4 linked regions of the Mus musculus genome follow. The protein of the gene in region 3 purifies or fractionates together with the protein of the main gene of each other region. This does not show direct contact. Links are inferred from orthologs where the notes say so. Each region holds a gene or a part of one and is shown on either strand. Other genes may lie near its edges.

Region 1 (5,236 bases), on a different chromosome or scaffold from region 3:
TACGGAGGGAAGATGCAGAGTGCCTCTGATACAACGACAGGAACCAAATCCTAACAACATACTTCTGGGTCTTACTAATGAACATCAACTTTATGACTGTGCGTGTGTGTATGTGTCTGTTGTGTGCACTGCCCAATTTTGTGATCTCTAATTTCTTTGAAATCCAATGATGGTACAAGCCTGAAATCCCAGCACTTGATGAATAAGTAGTTTAAGGTCATCCTTAGCTACAAAGCCAGTTCCAGGCCAGCCAGTCTACATGAGACCCTGGGCTCAAAATAAACACGTCTATTTCCTGATCAACCATATGGTGACTGGTTCACTCAGCTTGGCTTTTTTCTAAAGTGATGAAGCTGTGCCACATTCAGTAGGCAAACAACAGACCGGTCTTGCCTGACTTTACTTTTATGTGCTATTCCTAATTCCTTCAGGCATTATCAAAGGCGCTGCTTCCCTGATCAACCTCTACTTTAGGTGGCTATTTATTGTCACTTGAGACTTGTCCCACTGTACTTACTGCTAAAGGAACCCAAACGGTCCATCCTCTAGCTGACTGATGGCTGCTTGATCTCCCTTGATGTAGAGTTTCAAGACTTCAGACGTTGCCAAACAATCCCACGATCCCCTAAGAACAAAGAGAAGATGCACACAGATCAGAAACCAGTCCAAGGTATATTTTGGCAACCCGACACGGCAACTGTGTGGTTGCCAACCACAACACTCAGACCCCCCCCCTCGCTCACAGAATGTGAAGTGCAGCCTCCTTACAGAACCTGGAACTTGCTGGTATGGTGGTATTCACCTTTAATCCTAGTACCCAGGAAGCAAAAGAAAATAGGTCTCTGGTTCAAGACCAGCCTGGTCTACATGAAGAGTTCGGAGCCAGCTACATAGTGAGATCCTGTCTCAAAAAATAAATTGGATTTTATTACTGGAAACTAAGGAATCCTACCCAACATATGCGGATCAGTAACTTACTCCTTCAGACAGGAGGACTTCAATGTCATCCCTGGCTATCTTGGACTGCTTGAAACTCATGGTGGTGCACACCTTTGATCCCAGCACTCAGGAACCACAGACAGCCTACTCTACAGAGTGAGCTCTAGGACAGGCAGGCAGGGCAACATAGAGAGACCCTGTCTTAGAGGGGAAAAAGGAAAGAAAACCCAAGCCAAAACAAAGCAAATACCAATTTGGACAAATAAATGTTAGTTTTATAAAAGGCTAATTCAGCCGGGCAGTGGTGGCACATGCCTTTAATCCCAGCACTTGGGAGGCAGAGGCAAGTGGATTTCTGAGTTCAAGGCCAGCCTGGTCTACAGAGCTAGGACCACACAGAGAAACCCTGTCTCGGGCTGGAGAGATGGTTCAGTGGTTAAGAGCACTGACTGTTCTTCCGAAGGTCCTGAGTTCAAATCCCAGCAACCACATGGTGGCTCACAACCACCCATAATGAGATCTGACGCCCTCTCCTGGTGCATCTGAAGACAGCTACAGTGTACTCACATATAATAAAATAAAATAAATAAATCTTAAAAAAAAAAGAAACCCTGTCTCAGGGGGTGGGGGACAAACAAACAAACAAAACAAAAGGCTAATTCACCTTCATTTCTCCTGAAATAGATTTTTCTTTTTTTTTTTCCTTAAGATTTATTTATTTATTATCTGTAAGTACACTGTAGCTGCCTTCAGACACTCCAGAAGAGGGCGCTTGCTACGGATGGTCGTGAGCCACCACGTGGTTGCTGGGAATTGAACTCAGGACCTTCTGAAGAGCAGTCAGTGGTCTTAACCTCTGAGCCATCTCTCCAGCCCCCCCCCCTTTTGTTTTTAAAGATTTATTTATTTTATTTATATGAGTACATTGTAGCTGTCCTTAGACCCACCAGAAGGCATCAGATCCCATTACAGATGGCTGTGAGCCACCGTGTGGTTGCTGGGATTTGAACTCGGAACCTCTGGAAGCGCAGCCAGTGCTCTTAACCGCTGAGCCATCTCTCCAACCAAAATAGGTTTTTCACGTTGACATTTTTAGCTTGGGGACTGACATACAAAGTATATGCAATGCTTAGATAAGAAGGCTGAGGGTCAAACTTTAGGCTATTTTGGGTAGGGGTGAGTTTTTACTCTATTTCCAAGAAAAATGATCTTTGAAGAACGTTGTGGCTCAGTAGTTCAGTTGTAGGGTGTTTTAGCAAGGATGCTTTATATTCACACTCCAGCATCCATTGAGCAAACAAACCCAGTACTCCAGAGGTACAGACAGTACGATCAGTTCATGGAAACTCTTGGCTACATTAAGTTCAAGGTTAGCCCAAGATACATGAGGCTGACTAAAAAAAAAAATTAATTAAAAAAAAAATTAACAAAGGCATATGTCAGGTACTAAATGTAATCTTAGTACGGGGACTATATCTTGGAATCCTAACAATCTCCTGACATAGGCTGTTTTCCCCAAGAAAATGAAGCGCTAAAGATTGGGGTATTTGCACAATGTTTTTACAGCCTGGTGAACAGCAGGGCTCTATCAAGACCTTTACAGTGGCAAAGATTCTACAGTACGTTCTGACAAACACTTCACATTGCAAAGCACAATGCTGCAGAAAGCAAAATCCTCCTTCCTCTCCTTCCTTAGAAGACCACGCAGTGACACTAACATCCTTGAGAGATGGGCTACATTTAAATTAATTACAAGAGGGATCAGGGAAGGCATGGAGGGGCAGGATCCCATGAGCACAGGGGAGCCGCGGGCTTGGCAGTTGTGCAGTTAACATCCTTAGAGCTGCACGGTCTTGGGCAGGTCACTGTAGCCGGGCCTCGACCGCAAAACAGTGCTAAACACTGGGGCGCGGAGACCCACGTGGGGGTTCGGCGGGTCAGGTGGGCCGGGGCCGTGCTCCACCGCCCAGCCGGGAATACGGAGCTGCGGCACCGCCAGCCGCCGGGGGGAGGGGCTCGGGACTCGCCCGGCCGCGCCAACCTCCCCCGCCGCGTGGCCCCGCCGCGCCAGCCGGCACCTCGTGACCCCGCGTGCCCTCGCTCCCGCCGCTCGGCCCCGCGCCTCACCTCGCCACGTCCCGCACCTCGGCGCCGAAGAGCCCGCCGCTGCGCGCGCTGTGCAGACTCTGCGTGCGCGCCGCGGCCTGCGTGCGCGGCCTCGACTCACGTGCGCGGTCCCGTGCCGCGAGCACGCCGAGGCGGTCCCGCCTCCTCCAGTCTGGCAGCGGGCGGGTCCCGGTGGCGCCGCCCCGGGATGGGGAGCGTGGTACCTGGCTGCTAGTCGGTGGGCTCTGAAGTCTGACCTGCTGTCACTTTCTCCGTCGCCACAAGCGGCCCGGTGGCATGTGCTAAGGCGGCTTCCGCTGTTTCAGTCTAGATTTTTTTCTTAACAGTCCCATTCCAATTCTTTTGCAAGCAAAGAAACTGAGGCTGCCCAGGCTCTGGACTGGAGGATGACGAGCCCCGGGCGCATCATGCCACTCATGGATTACCCGGACTGAATGACTTGAGGGGTGAAGAGGGTCCTTTTTATTCTGATGCTTCTGGGACGTCGAAATTGCCTTCTCTGGAAAGACCCATCCCCTGCCTGGGCTTCAGAGGCCCACATGGAAACGCAGTGATGATGTGGTGGTCCACTCTGATGTCACTCTTGAGGGCTAGGTATGTCCCAACATCTCTTATTACTAATAGTATAGATTCTTATAAGAGCTTCCATTTGTGGAGTCCTTCAATACTGCATGCCAGGCATTGTACAAAGCGGGTTACACATAAGGGTTCGTCTAAAACAACTTTCTGAGGGAGGCACTGTTACTGTCCTCATGGTCCAGCATTGAAATATATAACTTAGGATCACAGTGCTACCAAGTGTTGGGGAAGAGCTCTATTCCAACCCATGGCTTGATCTTAACTATTATGCTGTATATCTATTTAAAAATCTGTTTCATAGATTTGCCCAATTTCTGTTGGAATTCATTTATACGATATCTGCCCGTGTGGCATCTTGATTTGTTTTTTGGTACACAGGTAATATAAGTCTATTGTTAAAATAAAAATAAAATCTGCAGCTGGGTGCAATTAGTGGCTCACATCTGTGATCTCAACACTTGGAGAGTGCAGGACAATTGCTTTGAGATTGAGATCAATCTGGGCTACAGAGTAAGAGATCTGTCTCAAAAAAAAAAAGAGTAGTAAAGAAAAAACATTAAAAATTCACATGTGAAAGTCATCCCCACCACGTTAAATAAACAGTTGATGCTATAGAGTACTTCACATTTACTGACTCTCCAAATCCATTCATTTCACAAAAGCACAACGAACAGCCACTTCCCTGGGTGCTGAGAATTTGGTAGTGAGCGAAGTATATGCTCTTGCACATAAGGTTTGTGTATTTTATATATAAGCAATAAAATATAAGTATGTTGCATATTAATATATAAGTAACAAATATTTTTAAATGCCTCATAATGTGGTTTTATGGGAAATAAATCAGGATCCAGATATAACAGTGATAGATTTTCTTTTAGTCAGGATAGGGAAGAAAGGCTTCCTAGCAGACATAACACACAAGAGGAAATCCAATTATTGAATGAGAAACAGAAGCTTCCAGATTTCTAGAGAGAACCATAGATGAGACTCAGCAGGTACGGTGGCCCTGGTGCGTGGCTTTGATAGGCATGGAGAAGAAGAAGCAAGAAGGTCAGAGTGGCTGGAGCAGATCCAAGTAAAGAGATTTGATGGAAAACAGCCTGGACCCAGGTCCCACATCACTTGGTAAACTTTGGTTGGATTTTTTTATTTCACTGGGATATGATAGAATTCCATGAAGGGTAGACATCAATGTATTTAAGAAAAGAATAGTGGCTCATGCCTGTAATGCCAGCACACAGGAGGTCAGCCTACGCAAAAAATTCCAGTTCAGTCCGGTGCATGTGACCCTGACTCAAAAAATGGATAAATTAAAATGTCCAATGTCTGGAAAAACCAAAAAAATAAAAAATAAAATGTCCAAGAGGGATGAAATTTAAATGGATTAAAATGTATCCAAAGGGATCCAACAAAGTATGATGTCATAAGCGTGAAAATCACACAAATAATGAAACCCATTACGTTAACTTAAAAATTAGCGCAAAAACTAAAAATGTCAGGGTGTGGTGGGATGTCTCTGTCAGTGAAGTGTTTGAATTTAAACCTCGGTGCCCTAGTCAAGGTGGTGCGTGCCTGTAGCCCCAGCACTGGG
Region 2 (5,220 bases), on a different chromosome or scaffold from region 3:
AAGGCCATTCATAGCTGTTACACTCGCTGATTTACTGGATGAAAAGTCTGGGGTTATCATAAATAAAAAGTATTGTGGCATGATTTTTCCTTAGGGAAATATGCAAAAATAACTTGAATCTCTTCTCATTCTAAAAGTCACTGGTCCCAAACTCTATTTTCACATTCAAAGATATAACCTGGGCTGGTGAGATGGTTCAACAGGTAAGAGCACTGACTGCTCTTCCAAAGGTCCTATGTTCAAATCCCAGAAACCACATGGTGGCTCACAACCACACGAAATGAGATCTGATATCCTTTTCTGGTGTGTATAATAATAAATAAATCTTTGTGCTGGCGCAAGCAGAGGTCCTAAATTCAATTTCCAACAACCACATGAAGGTTCACAACCATCTGTACAGCTACAGTGTATTCATATACATAAAATAAATCTTTAAAAATAAATAAACCTAGATTCTTTAAAAAATAAATTAAAGTCGGGCGTGGTGTCGCATGCCTTTAATCCCAGCACTCAGGAGGCAGAGGCAGGCGGATTTCTGAGTTTGAGGCCAGCCTGGTCTACAAAGTGAGTTCCAGGACAGTCAGGGCTACACAGAGAAGCCCTGTCAAAACAAACAAACAAAGAAACAAACAAAAAACACCAAAAAAATTAATTAAAAAAAAAAAACCAAAGATATAACCAATGCAGTATGCTAACTGTTCATAATAGTATTTTCTTCATGCCGTTTGGGTTCACTTAACAGAGAACGAAAGAGCAAAGCATACTGAGACGAAGTGAATGTTGGGGAAACACTGGGAATACCTAATCAAGGCCTGAATGAGCCTTATCATTGTTGTCTATCGGTTTTCAGCAGCAGCTTTGAATGTGTACTTTCCTGGGTAAGAGTGATTTACTGATATGCCATTCTTCATTGGCATCACAAATACTTAAAAGTTCTGGGAAGCCAAGTCTCTTTTTTAATTTAAGGGGTAAGTGCAAATGACACCATCCTTAGCCTCTTGTGAACTACTCTGACACAAGGATCTTACAAGCATTCCTGAAAGGCTCCAAGGGCATCAACGACATTTTTTTTTTCTTTTGGTTTTTTGAGACAGGGTTTCTCTGTATAGCCCTGGTTGTCCTGGAACTCACTTTGTAGACCAGGCAGGACTCGAACTCAGAAATCCGCCTGCCTCTGCCTCGGGAGTGGTGGGATTAAAGGCGTGAGCCACCACGCCGGGCAACGCCATTTCTTAAGATTACAGGAGCTAAACATGTCCGGATCCTTGCCTGACCCAGTGCATTTCCCAACAGAAGTTTAGTAGGCAACAAGGTGTAGCCGAGGCTGAGGCAGGATTGCGAGTTTGAAGCTAGTTTGAGCTGCACAGCAATACCTTGTCAAAAAACCAACCACCCAGCTTTTAGACTCTAAGAAAATTTAGGGTCTGATCAGTCGCCCCATAGCGACCAGATGTCCTCCGTACATACTCCACTGGCACTCCCAACCCCACCCTCGCGACTCCAAAGCAGCCCAGCACTGCGACTTCCTGGTGAAGGCGGTCCCCAAATAGGAAAGCCAGGGCCCCAGGCAGCCACTCCCAAGAAGCAGCGAAGCGGGCCAGGGGTTACGCTCGGCGCTCGATTGCTAGAGCCTGGCGACGATAGCACTTGCAACGGCTCTGCGCTCGAGAGGTCGAGCCTGGCCCGTTGCGGCTGCGGCGGCGGCGGCGGCTGTGGCGGCGGCGGGGGCGGGCGCGGGAGCGAGTCCGCGGCCGGGAGCGGGAATGTCGAGGAGTTCGAAGGCAGTGCTGGGCCTCTCGGTGCTGCTGACGGCGGCCACGGTGGCCGGCGTGCATCTGAAGCAGCGGCAGGACCGGCAGGTCGGTGTCACGTGACCGCGTCTTCCGGGGCGCCGAGCCCGCAGCTGTCCCTGCGCGCGTGGCGGGCCGGGCGGGCTGCAAGGGCGCGTTCAGGACGCCGACTTCTCTCCCCCAGCCACGAGGCGGGAGACTGGGGCGGAAGCCTCGGGGCAGGGGTGTAGTCCAGAGTTAGAGAGTTGCTAGGGTGAGCTCGAGGCCCTGGGGGCAGCACAGCCCACAAAGCCTTACCCAGGAATTGTTAAATCCGGAGATAAAGCAGCTCACACCCAGCACACCCCCCAGTGCCTTTGGCTAAAGAAACTTGAGATTTTTGCAACTTGCATTAACAAAACATTTTGCTACTGGACTTAGGTTCTGGAAAGGATAAAAGGTAGCGAGCGCCCTTCACGTTTTCTTTTAATGGCTTTCTTTCGGAGAATAACTGGCTTATTAATCAGCGACTAACCGACTCTTCCTCATTCCAGTTTGCAACGCTGGCTAGTGCGCTGAGCACACTGAGAACACATAGTTAATTATAACCTCTCGAGATTGTTCTTTTTATAATGGTGCCACACTGTGCTGGCCAGTACTTGGTATTTGCCCTTTCAAGCAATACCTTTACAGTTATTTGGTTTGAATCGGATTTGCCATGGGCAGAAGTTACTGAAAGCCTCAAGAGTCACCAGACCATCGACCTTTGTATTCACAAACTAGGAATTGCAATGAAACTAGGCTTGCAAATTCAGAACCATTTTGAGGAGCAGGGTCGATGTGCAGTGATGGAGAAGCACACAAGGAATTAAAGATTTGGGATTAAAATATGGTTCCCCAGGGATATCTTCTGGAGTAGAAGCAAGAAACTTCCTTCTTGGGAGGAAAAGGAAAAGATGGTGGTTCTAATTAAACTTGGAAGACAGGGTGTCTGTGTCCTCCTGATGTGTTTTGGAGACAGCGTTTGCTATCAGTTTTGTTTCAAACTCTGTTCCCCTGAGAAGTTTTTACAGTATGAGCAGACCAATTAAATCAGATCTCTGGAGCATGGAGACTCAGCTGTGTTCCAAAAGGCACGCCAAAGGCTTTAATGAAACGGTTGAGAATCACAGTTAGAGAATGGAAGTGTGCAAAGATCTAGTTATTTCTTGGAAGTTAGTGACCAAGACATACTGACCAAAATAAGCTGTCCAGTAGCTATTCATTAGCGACTTACTGTAACATCGAGGAAGGTAGATGTCTTGAAAACTTCAAGGTGGCAGTAAAGGAAATAATGGCTTGTTTTCTGTCTACCCACACCAGACACAGTGTTTTTCACTTTACAGACATTGTCTTTAACTCTCAAAGGAACTTAGTAGACATCAATTACAGATGGTTCCTAACTTAAAGATGGTTAACTTGGTTTTATGTATGTGTTTGGGTGTTTTTTTTTTAAAGATTTATTTATTTATTATATGTAAGTACACTGTAGCTGTCTTCAGACACTCCAGAAGAGGGTGTCAGATCTTGTTACAGATGGTTGTGAGCCACCATGTGGTTGCTGGGATTTGAACTCAGGACCTTCGGAAGAGCAGTTAGTGCTTTTAACCACTGAGCCATCTCTCCAGCCCCGGTTAACTTGGTTTTTAGGAAAGCAGTATCGTTTGTATTTAGTGAAACTTTCTTTGAATATTGAATTTTGGTATTTTCCCAGGCTCAGGATCAATGGTAGGATTCTTTCAAAATGCCAGGCAGCAAAACAAACCTCAGACCCCAGGGAGCCCCGGAATGCTGATGTTCAGTGGTATCATGTCAGAACACCTTTATTATTTTCAGTTTATCATGAGGTTTTCCAGGTATGGTCCTATGGTAAGTTGAGGAGTGTTAATGATTCTACAGGAATCAAGGCTCCAGATGCTAGAGTTAGGTTAGTAAAGAGCTGTGTTAGTTAGGGTTTCCTATTGCTATGACAAAGCACCATGACTAAATGCACCTTGGGGTGGAAAGGGGTCAACTTCCAGCTCCATATCACAGTTCATCAATGAAAGCAATTGAGGTGATAATCTGGAAGTAGGAACTGAAGCAGAGGCTGTGAAAGAGCTGCTCACTGGCGGCTTATGTTAAGACAAAGTCTTTCTGTGTTGTCTTGGCTGGCTCAGAGCTCAGAGAGATCTGCCTGCTACTACCTCCTAAATTCTAGAACTAATGTACCACCATGCTGGACCTGAGCCCTCACTCTTACATTTCCCAACTCCACTGGTGTAGCAAATGTAGCTGTAGGCCTGGGAGAGGCTCAGTAAGAACTAGGTGAGTATTTATTTATTTATCTATTTATTTATTTATTTTGAGTAGACTTTATTGTAAAAACACAAACCCCTTGCAAATAAATAAAAACATCACACATCAAAATTAATGAGACTCAAAGTCTGTACAACTCAGTGAACTGCACAGTAAACGTTCACATGTGCTTTATTTATTTTTATTGTTTTATATTTAAGAGGGTTTGCATGCATGTGCGAGCACTCATGCATATCTGGTGCCTGTGGAGGTTAGACAAGGTCATCACATCCCTTTGGTCCAGAGTTACAGCCACTTGTGAGCCTCTGTGGAAACTGAAGTTATGTCATGCAAGAATGAGCACTTCTCTCCTGAGCCCTACCTCCAGCCCTTCTGTATGGTTAGGAGAGGTAGGTGTTCATTCAGAACGGAAGCTCTGGAGCTCCACTTTCAGTACTGAATTCGCTTTTATACACTTACCCACCACCAACCCCAAAAAACCCATGACAGATTTAGACCCAGAAAAACAATCAGCTTATATTCCCTTTCATAGTTTGTATCCATTCTCGTCCAGTCCTTCCTCATCTCCTTATATATAGCTTTTCTTGTTCTCTTTTCTTCATGATATGCTGTACCCACATGCACCTTCATTTCTGTATTTACAAATAACATTGCTTAGATTCTGCATATGAGAGAGAACTGCAGTTTCTTTCTGAGAGTGTGTGACCTTGTTCAATATTATATATTCTAATTCTATTCATTTTTCTACAGATTTTTAAACTTTATTTTTCTTTAAAGCTGCATGGTAATCTATCGTGTGTGTGTGTGTGTGTTTGTGTGTGTGTGTATACACACACTAAATTTTCATTATCCATTCATCTGTTGGTGGCCAATTAGGTTGATTCAGGTTCTTTGTTAGGCCAGCCTTTAAAAATAGAGATAGGTGGGAAGCAGAGATAGATCTCTGTGAGTTTGAGGCCAGCCTGGTCTATATCATGAGAGCTAGGACAGTCAGTATTACATAGAAAGATGCTGTCTCCAAAAAAGAAAGAAAAAAGGATATAGAAACTGGAGAGATGGCACTAGTTGCTCCTGCAGAGGAACTGGGGTCTATTCCCAGCACCCATGTGGTGAG
Region 3 (4,473 bases):
AATGGAAATTGACTTGAATTGGTTTTGTCTAGGTTATAACTTATAAATGTCTTTGATGGCAATTTAAAAGTTACTTCTTAATTTAATTGTTAACCACTTAAAGCATCTCAAATATCAGATTATTTCATTATGTTGAAAGAGCCGTCATGTTTCTTTAGGTCGCCAGTCGTGTACAGAAGTACTTCATAAAGCTAACGAAAGCCGGCATACCAGTTCCAGGCAGAACACCTAACTTATATATATACTCCAGAAAGGTAAGCAGTCCACACGGCCAGACCTCAGCGAGGGTCGCTGAGCTCAGAAGTGCTGAGCGCGTGAGTTTGTTAAGCTGTGCTCCCCTTGTGCTTGCCATTTCTCTGTAGGCTGTACATGAACCAGTGGCTCTTTCTGTGTCTGGTGTGCACTGGTCACGAGTGGTGTCTGTATGAGCGGCTGCTATGAGGGTTGTGCCACCACATAGATGTAATCCAATTCCACCACTGCCCTCACCTTGGAACTCCACCTCCTCACGCTTATAATTGTGTAGCTCCCAGTTGCAAGGATTAAGTGATAATGCATAAAGCAAGTAGTCGCTCCATGTTAGGTGATTGTTTATACACTCAGGTAGTATGGAAACTTCTCTCTCTTTCTCTCTCTCTCTCGAGAGCGCCCCCCCCCCCCCCCCGTAGTTATTGTCTGGCTTAGATCATTTTATTTTCTTTGATTTTTCAGTAAAAGTTTATCATAAGAGTTGAGTGTAGCCAGCATTGAATGCTCGTAAATGGTGGGGTATATGTATGGTTTTGTACTTTTGATTCTGTTAACGATTTTCCACTGTCCCAGTAAAACACTTGTTTTCTCCTCTAGTCCTCAACAAGCAGGCGACAGCACCCCCTTAATAAGCACCTCTTTAAACCTTCCACTTTCATGACTTCACATGAGCCACCGGTGTACATGGATGAAGATGATGACCGGTCCTGTCTCCATAGCCACATGAGCACTGCTGCTGAGGAGGCCTCAGTAAGTTACTTGCCTGGTTTTTATACAGATGACTGAACAATACACAGTAAATAACTCTCCGATTATCCCCACTCTTCAGGGGGTGCTGACATGTCCCCTTTAACTCACAGCTTAGAGTTAATATAGAGTTAATGAACTTTAAGTATTCTTTTGTGGAAAATTCAGCATAGGCATAAGAAGGCAGAGTAGCCCGGTGAACCGGGATCCGTTACTGAGCTTCTGTGATTGTCACCAGGCCATAGTTTACACATCTTCTTACCCGGTTCTGCTTCAAGTTATTTTGGAGGGAGTTCCAAACACCAAATTGAGGTTTCTGAGAAGGTAACTTCACATGGAGTAGAATATTTGCTCGCTCTCACTCAGGGCCCTGTGCACACTAGCAAGCACTCTACCAACTGATGTGCTACAGTGTGTGTTGCAAGGACTGAGTCCTTTGTGTCATTTAACTCACTCTTCTGCTCTGAAGTTTCTGTAAAGTGGTTGATTCCTTGCTTGAACAATATATACTAATACTCTGATTGCATAGAATCAGAGCAGGAGATTTTAATGATAGTTGGCAAGAAAAGATACTCCTTTCTCTTAGATAACTATGTAGTCACTGTAAAATTTTTCCTATGGAAATGCCTAGTCTTTAAATTACAGCTTGTGTGTGTGATTTTGTACTTTGTGATTGTTAGAATGACTCGTTTGAAGAAATACTTACCTAAACATGTTACGTAATAGGCTGTGCTGGGAGTTTGATAAGGAGTTGTAAAAATACATACGTCTTTGTTCTTCTAGATCTTGGGCTTGTTTATTGATCACGTTGATAAATATTTGTTAAAGTCCTTCAAAGGAATAAAAGGAGCCTTCATAGTCATTTAAGAGAGATACTTAGTTTAGAGAGAACGTTTAAGAGAAAAGTGTTAGTGACGATGGTGCCATGTGAGTCACAGCTAAGGTCACCCCCATTGATTCTCGATGGCCTCCCTTATGCCAGGTCTCTGGCTCGTCCTGAAGATGCCCCCCTTCACCCCATCATTGCTAATTTCCATTTATTTTCTTGGTATCTAGCCATCTCTCGTGTCCTAGGCCTCCCCACACATATGTAGAGGATGTACAGCTTGGTCTTCCTGTGGGTTCCCAACAGCTGGAATGGGATCTTTCCCAAAAGTTGTAGCCTGTATGTGAGATATATTCTAGCCGAGACACTTTGTCTGAGAGGAAGTCACAGAGACTTGAAGGGCCAGAGTAGGGGGATACCCAGGGAGTTCCCCACCTGCTCAGAGAAGAGGCGGGGGGGGGGGGGGGGGAGTGGGGGGGTGGGATAGGGGAAGGATTGTGTCTGGGCGGGGGAGGGTATGACTGGGAGAGGATGTAAAGTGTAAAAGTAAAAAAAAAAAAAAAAATATATATATATATATATATATATATATATATATATATACACACACACACACACACATATATATATATATATATATAAGCCATGTGAAAGGGGTGGCAGAACATTTAAAACAAGCACTCAGTGGTAGCCACTTACCAAGTGTATGCAAGGCCCTGGCTTTAATTCCTACTACAAAATTTTTTTAAAAGTTGACGAAATAATGTAATAAGTTAAGTTAGATTTAACTTTTTGTTGGTATTATTTATTTTTAAACAGTACTAATACAAATCATATTGATTACTGTTTTGGGAGACAGTCCCTCTGTGTAGCCTAGGAACGTCTTGAAATGATAATTCTACGTCAACATCCTTAAATCTAGAATTAAAAGTATGTATCGTCATGCCTTTCTGATCCACAGAGCTGTTTAAGAATATATTTATGAGTCTTGATAACATGTATAGGTTTCTCTTTCCAGAGATGCAGCAGCTAGAGAAATTAAATATGCATAATTTATTCCTTAGTTTGAAAAATCTGTATTCCACCTTAGCCTTATTTGAAAGTTGTTCCTTTTTTAGGTAACATTTGAGATAGTATAACTTAGAAAACTATGTTAATAAGTCATTTGTGTTAAAGTACAGTCTCAGATCTTCCCCGCTCCACTACCTGAAACCATGTCGACAGCATTCTTCCAGCTCCTTGTTCGTACCCACCATCCTTCATTTTGTCTGGACAGATTTGACAAAGTAAACACGCAGGTGGCTTCCATATCTGTAGGATCTTTCTGCGTCTATGGAGCTAACCCATCTGTACTACAAATGTGGAGACTTTATAGCAGTTGCAGAACTGTGAAATGGAGGAAAGATGCTGGTGGAGCGGGAACTGCAGAAGCTTCTATGCAGTTGAAGACCTTGAACCTGACTCCTACCTATATTCAAAGCTGTAGTACTAGTTAACAGACTTGAGTCTTGACAGAATCAGTTAGATAATGCAGGATATTTATGTCTTGGGCAGCCGGGTGTATCGTGAAATGAGGGTTCAAGTCATCCACTAGTTAATTAATTTCACTAATTAATTGTATGCTCTGGAGCAGTCCTTACAAGTTCTATAAGCATCCATTTCCTTAATGTGAAGCAAAGAATAGTAGTTAATAACAACTGATCTGACAGTGGCTGAGGGAGATGAGATTTTTATCTTGTCCAGGATTGAGAATTCATGGATCTTGGGCATTGGATTCATGGTGCATTTAGGAAACTTGTAACCATGGGGTCAATCATTAGGATGCAAAGGATCCTAGGTAGCAGGGCAAGACTGGGCAGATACAAAACCAGGATAGTGATTAGATATCTCAGTAGGCTTTTGGAAACCAGGATGAGGTGAGACCTCACAAGAGAAATGGAAAGCGGCATTGTGAGAGACTTATGTGCTGTTTGGGAGCAGATATTACTGTGGGTCAAGGGTGTGGCTTTTGGAGTAGGAGCCAGAGAAAGGTTGGAGGTAAGATCACTGTAGTGGAACTGAGAGCAGAGAGCTGGCAAACAGACGATCGGACACTAGGAGAGTCTTCGCCTTGCCCAGCATAGTGAGTGGTCTTCATTGTCAGTCACTGTTGCAATGAAATTGCCGGTCAGTTGTAGAGTTGGGGAAATCAGTACTGAATTTTACATCTTGAAGTCAGTGTTCTATGAACCTTTTGAAGTATTTATATAGTCCACAGTGTTTCCTAAATAGTGAAAAGTGTACTGTCTTGATCAGCTATTACAAATGCAGAGTATACAACAAGGGCAGAGATTTTTTTGCTTGTTCAAAAAAAAATTACCATGTTTACAGAGGCAGGTGTGAAAACTGTTAGAGCAGGGAGAGGTCAGGGTGAGGTTTCTGAAGCAGCAATGGTGACAGTAGGTTTTGAGACTGTATGTCAGGCCGAGTCACTGCATATCCCTTACACTGTGAGGCACTGTAGCTCATCTGAGCCTTAGAACAGTAGTGAAAGTCCTGTAAAATTGAAGGGTGGGCTGAAAAGATGGGTCAGTTTGTAATGTGCTTGCTGCGTGGCACGAGGACTTGAATGGGCTCCCAGCACCCATGTGAAAATGTGAGCATGATGCATG
Region 4 (4,473 bases), on a different chromosome or scaffold from region 3:
CAGGCAGGCAGATTTAAGAGTTCTAAGCCACCCAGGGCTACATATTGAGACCTTGCTCAAAAACAAACCAAAGCAAAAAACCCAGTGTTTCCTTTCCATAAATCCAAAATATAATATCATACAGTTACAGTCCCGTGTAAGGGAATATGCCTCTGCAAATGTGCCTAACCTTTGCTGACATGGTTTTCCTAGGCAGAAACAGACCTGAATTATTCTAAACCTCTCAGGATGGTTGCCACCTCTTCCTTAGTATGTTTAGCTAAAACTTAAATATCGTTTGAAATGACAGAGGAAGCTTCGTTGCAAGTTCTTAATGTAATAAATGACCTTGCATACATCAGTATGTTGATGGTTTCTTCCTTACCTGTCCTCACTCAGACCGTTCACTTCTCCCTTCTTGTCCTCAGTTTTGCGTTCCTTTGAGTGAGAATAAAATAACACTAGTTGGTTTTCCATGAACCTTCCTTCCCTCTTACTACATCTTTCTGGGCAGGATTATTCTTGTGATTATTTGTGATGGACAGGACACTCACACTATGGATTCCATAGATAGGTGAAGATGACACTCCTCCTGGTCTCACATTTACAGATAATGCCCTAAGACTTTTGGCACACTCTCCAGAGTTTGGCCACCTCTGGGGAAATGGTGTGGCTCAGGAGCGGATATGAAGGTCTGCTGGGATGTATTGATCCCTGCAGGTAGAGGATCTTTTGGGTGTTATTGTTTGGTCTTTCTTGTAAGAAACTAGGAGCTGGAGAGGTGGCTTAACAGTTAAAAGTATTGGCTGTTCTTCCAGAGGACTAGGGTTCAATTTCCAGCCCTTACCTGTCCAGCTCCATTTCCAGGAAACTCTTGTCACATACACACACATTTATACCTAGTGAAAATAAATTGGCCATATAGATTTTTTTGTTTGTTTATTTTTGCTCGTTTTGGTTTTTTCCATTACCAAGATACTCTCAAAATTAATCACAAACAAAAGAAGAAACAGCTTCTGTGTGACTTCCTTTGTGAGGTTCTCATGGAGTTCAGGCTGACTTTGAACTCGCTGTGTAACCCAGGATGACCTTTCCTCCAGCCTGCGATCACAGGTGTCTGCCACCTCCTGCTTTGTTTGAATGTAGTACTGGAGATTGAACCCAGAGCTTCATGCATGCTGGGCAAGCGCCCTCCTACTGAGCACCCTACCACCTCACACCACTTTTTCCTAACTTTAAAATAATAGTAGTTAGATTCCAGACCTTCCAAAAATACTTATGTTATAAATTACAGCAGGTGACTTAAGGTTATGAAACAACTTTACATGGCTTTACATAGGGTACTTATAAATGCTGCATGCTTTTTGGAGTATTTTGAAATTAAGTGTTACCATCCAGGCTTTATGTATCTGTATAGTGACTTACTGTCACCTGAATCAGGTGACTGTCTCTGGGATAAACTAATTCAGTTCTCTTGAGTGATCTCTTGGCTATCTGTTTAATTTTATTGTTATTATTGTTATTTTCTGTGTATGAATGTTTTGCCTACATGATGGCTCTGTGCTCTTTGGGTGCCTTCGATCTTCGGGACCTGGAGCTGCATACAGTTGCACATCATCATGTGGGTGCTGGGAGTCAGACTCAGGTCCTTGGAAGAGCAGGCAGGATTCTCAGCCACCTCTTCAGTCCCTCTTGGTATTTAAGACAGGTCTCCTACAACTTAGGTTGGCCTCGAACTTGATATGTTGCTGAGGCTGACATTAAATTCCTCTACTCCCAAGTGTTGTAATTAGAGGCACCATGGCAGGCTTTCTGTGTTGTTTTGCTCTTTTAACAAAGAGCTGAGGTTCTTTTTTTTTTTTAAAGATTTATTTATTTATTATATATAAATACACCGTAACAGTAACTGCTTACTGCTGGCTATTGAACACTGGGAATTCGCTGTCAAGAGTTGACTATGGCAAAAAAAAAAAAAAAAAAAAAAAGGAACTGAATTTTATACTTAATTTAATTACTTTATTTATGTATTTAATTTTATATTATGTGTCTAGATGGTTTGCCTGCATGTGTCTGAACCACATGCATGCCTGGTGCCTATGGAGGTCAGAAGAGGGAGTCAGAGCCCCTGGAACTGAAGGTTTTGTGTCACCATGTGTGTGCTGGGACTCCAACTCAGATTCCCTGGAAGAGCAACCAGTGCTCTTAGCTGCTGACCAATCCAGACCCACTTTATTTAATTTTAATCAATTTAGTTTAAGTAGCCACATGTGGTTAGTGGCTAATGTATGAGACATTGTGAAATTAGAGGATTCATGGGATTGTTTTATATGTAAGTCTGGCTAATTTACCATATTGCAAAGTTAGTCATTAGTTTAGCCATTAAGTACACAGTTACATTTGTTATAAGTAATACTAGAAGATCAGGGATAGTTTTATTGAGTACCCACTATAGCAAGCACTGAAGAAGTAATGGAACTGGAGTTTGCATATTAGAATGAGCCCTGAGCTATACTAGTCATGCTTTGAGATGTGCTTAAAAACTTTGTGAATTACACAGCACTGAAAGCTTAACATTACTTTCATCAAACTCTGGTTTATTCTCATATCCTTTTGTGAAAGCTAGAGTTCTTTTGAAAAGTATGAGCAGGGCCAGGCATGATCATGTATGCATTTAAAACATCCCTGAGTTCAAGGTCACTCTGGTCTTCTTTGAGCTTCAAGGCAGCCAGGGATGATTAACCCTGTCTCAAAAAAAAAAAAAAATTAAAAATTAAAAATAGGAGGAAATGTGAGAAGCAGCAGAGCAGTGTACAACATTGTTAAGGAATTTTCCCCTGGAAGGGAAATTCAGAGTTTTTAACAATAGCCATGCTGATAATGCTTTTGACTTAATGTTGTTGGCTAAGTACACACAACACTGAGAGTTAGGCATCCCTAACGAGAAAATCTAAACTCTCCCAAGGTTGAAAGATTTCTGGATCTTTTCAGACCAGTCATATTCAGCCTATATATGCACAGACTTACACAGAATAAGTACCAATATTTTGTAGTGTTTGTTTATTACCTTTGTGTGTATACATAAACATTTATACATGCTAGTATTTCATAATAGTACTATTAATGTGTTTGTTATTGCTTCACAGTGAAGAATTGAATTTCACCATGTCTGGAATCAAGCGAACAATCAAAGAAACTGACCCTGATTATGAGGATGTATCTGTGGCCCTTCCAAATAAGCGGCATAAAGCGATTGAGAGTTCAGGTAGCCGTCGAGTTGCTTTTGAGACTTAACTTTGCTGACATTTGCCTGTGCATAAGGGTTTATAAAATCTACATGAATATCTACAATCATATATAAGCTGAAGGATATTTGAAGGGTTAGCCTAGTGCTCTGTGCAGTTCACCATGTGTCACATACAAGGGAGGGGATCTGGCAGGAACATGATTAAAGTAAGCTGTAAATCTTAGCTATTGTTGCAATATAGCTAAAATCAGAATGTTGGCAACTGGAGAGATGGCTCAGTGGTCAAAAGTGCATTCCAGTCTTTTTATTTCTTAAAGATTTTCCCCCCTTTTTGGTTTTGAGAGAAGGTCTCTGTTATGTAGTTCTGACTGTTCTAGAACTAACTCTAGATCAGGCTGGCCTGAACTTACATCGTCCCACCTGCCTCTGCCTCCTGGGTATCAGATTAAAGGTATCTGCCATTGTGTTCAGTGTTTTGTTTTGAGACGGGGTTTCTCTGTGTAGCCTTGGCTGCCCTGGAACCCACCCTGTAGACCATGCTGGCCTTGAACTCCTGGGAACTGGGATTAAAGGCCTGTGCTGCTACCAACTAGCCTTTTTTTTTTCTTGGTAATTTTATGTATATAAGTGTTTATGCACCATGCACATGCATTTCTTGTGTAGCCCAAAAGAGCCCAGGTGTTGGAGCCTCTGAAACTGGAGTTGCAAGAGATTATTAGTTCCAATGTGAGTGTTAGGAGTCAAACCTGTTTCCTCTGCAAGAGTAGCCAGTGCTCCTGACAGCTGAGCCCTCACTCTAGCTCCCAAGTTCAGTGCTCTTGCAGAGGATCCAAGTTTGGTTCCCAGCATCCATGTCAGGTAGGTCACAGTAACCTGTAACTCTGGCTCCAGGGAAGTAGATGCCTTCTTTGGTCTCCATGGGCATCTGCACTCACACACATAAACATATAATTAAAACTGAAATAAATCTTTAAAAATAATAATATAAAATCAAAGTTTTTTGATGTCTCTGTAATATGGAATAACCATGTGAGGTGATTGTATGTAATAAAGGTTTTTAATATAGCTTCATATTATTTTTATGTATATAGAAATAAAAATGACCAAGTTGTTTCATGGATACTGTTGCTTAAATAGGATAACATTACTTTCAAGTGTTAGTTGTCCTCATTAAATGTTTCACTTGGGTGTTAGCTAGTAAATGTCAAAGGAGGAGAGATTTCTCTTGACTCATGCTTTTAGAGTTTGGC

What was found.
Region 1: the proteins of Zzz3 (region 3) and Tada2a purify together in Homo sapiens (affinity purification with mass spectrometry; 4 studies listed by BioGRID and IntAct, with this or other methods). This does not show direct contact. The link is inferred for Mus musculus from reciprocal best matches to the Homo sapiens genes ZZZ3 and TADA2A.
Region 2: the proteins of Zzz3 (region 3) and Kat14 purify together in Homo sapiens (affinity purification with mass spectrometry; 4 studies listed by BioGRID and IntAct, with this or other methods). This does not show direct contact. The link is inferred for Mus musculus from reciprocal best matches to the Homo sapiens genes ZZZ3 and KAT14.
Region 4: the proteins of Zzz3 (region 3) and Yeats2 purify together in Homo sapiens (affinity purification with mass spectrometry; 3 studies listed by BioGRID, with this or other methods). This does not show direct contact. The link is inferred for Mus musculus from reciprocal best matches to the Homo sapiens genes ZZZ3 and YEATS2.

What each region holds. Positions count from the first base shown.
Region 1 is NC_000077.6:84,126,471-84,131,706, forward strand, and holds the start of Tada2a (transcriptional adapter 2-alpha), read right to left. Parts: upstream 3,099-5,236; 5' UTR 3,067-3,098; intron 626-3,066; 5' UTR 543-625; coding exon 518-542; intron 1-517. UniProt on the Homo sapiens protein: Component of the ATAC complex, a complex with histone acetyltransferase activity on histones H3 and H4. Required for the function of some acidic activation domains, which activate transcription from a distant site. Binds double-stranded DNA.
Region 2 is NC_000068.7:144,367,299-144,372,518, forward strand, and holds the start of Kat14 (cysteine-rich protein 2-binding protein), read left to right. Parts: upstream 1-1,736; 5' UTR 1,737-1,763; coding exon of another isoform or gene 1,764-1,859; intron 1,860-5,220. Other genes in the region: protein PET117 homolog, mitochondrial precursor, read left to right, coding at 1,764-1,859. UniProt on the Homo sapiens protein: Component of the ATAC complex, a complex with histone acetyltransferase activity on histones H3 and H4. May function as a scaffold for the ATAC complex to promote ATAC complex stability. Has also weak histone acetyltransferase activity toward histone H4.
Region 3 is NC_000069.6:152,451,145-152,455,617, forward strand, and holds part of Zzz3 (ZZ-type zinc finger-containing protein 3), read left to right. Parts: intron 1-158; coding exon 159-254; intron 255-846; coding exon 847-999; intron 1,000-4,473.
Region 4 is NC_000082.6:20,147,320-20,151,792, forward strand, and holds part of Yeats2 (YEATS domain-containing protein 2), read left to right. Parts: intron 1-3,122; 5' UTR 3,123-3,141; coding exon 3,142-3,241; intron 3,242-4,473. UniProt on the Homo sapiens protein: Chromatin reader component of the ATAC complex, a complex with histone acetyltransferase activity on histones H3 and H4. YEATS2 specifically recognizes and binds histone H3 crotonylated at 'Lys-27' (H3K27cr).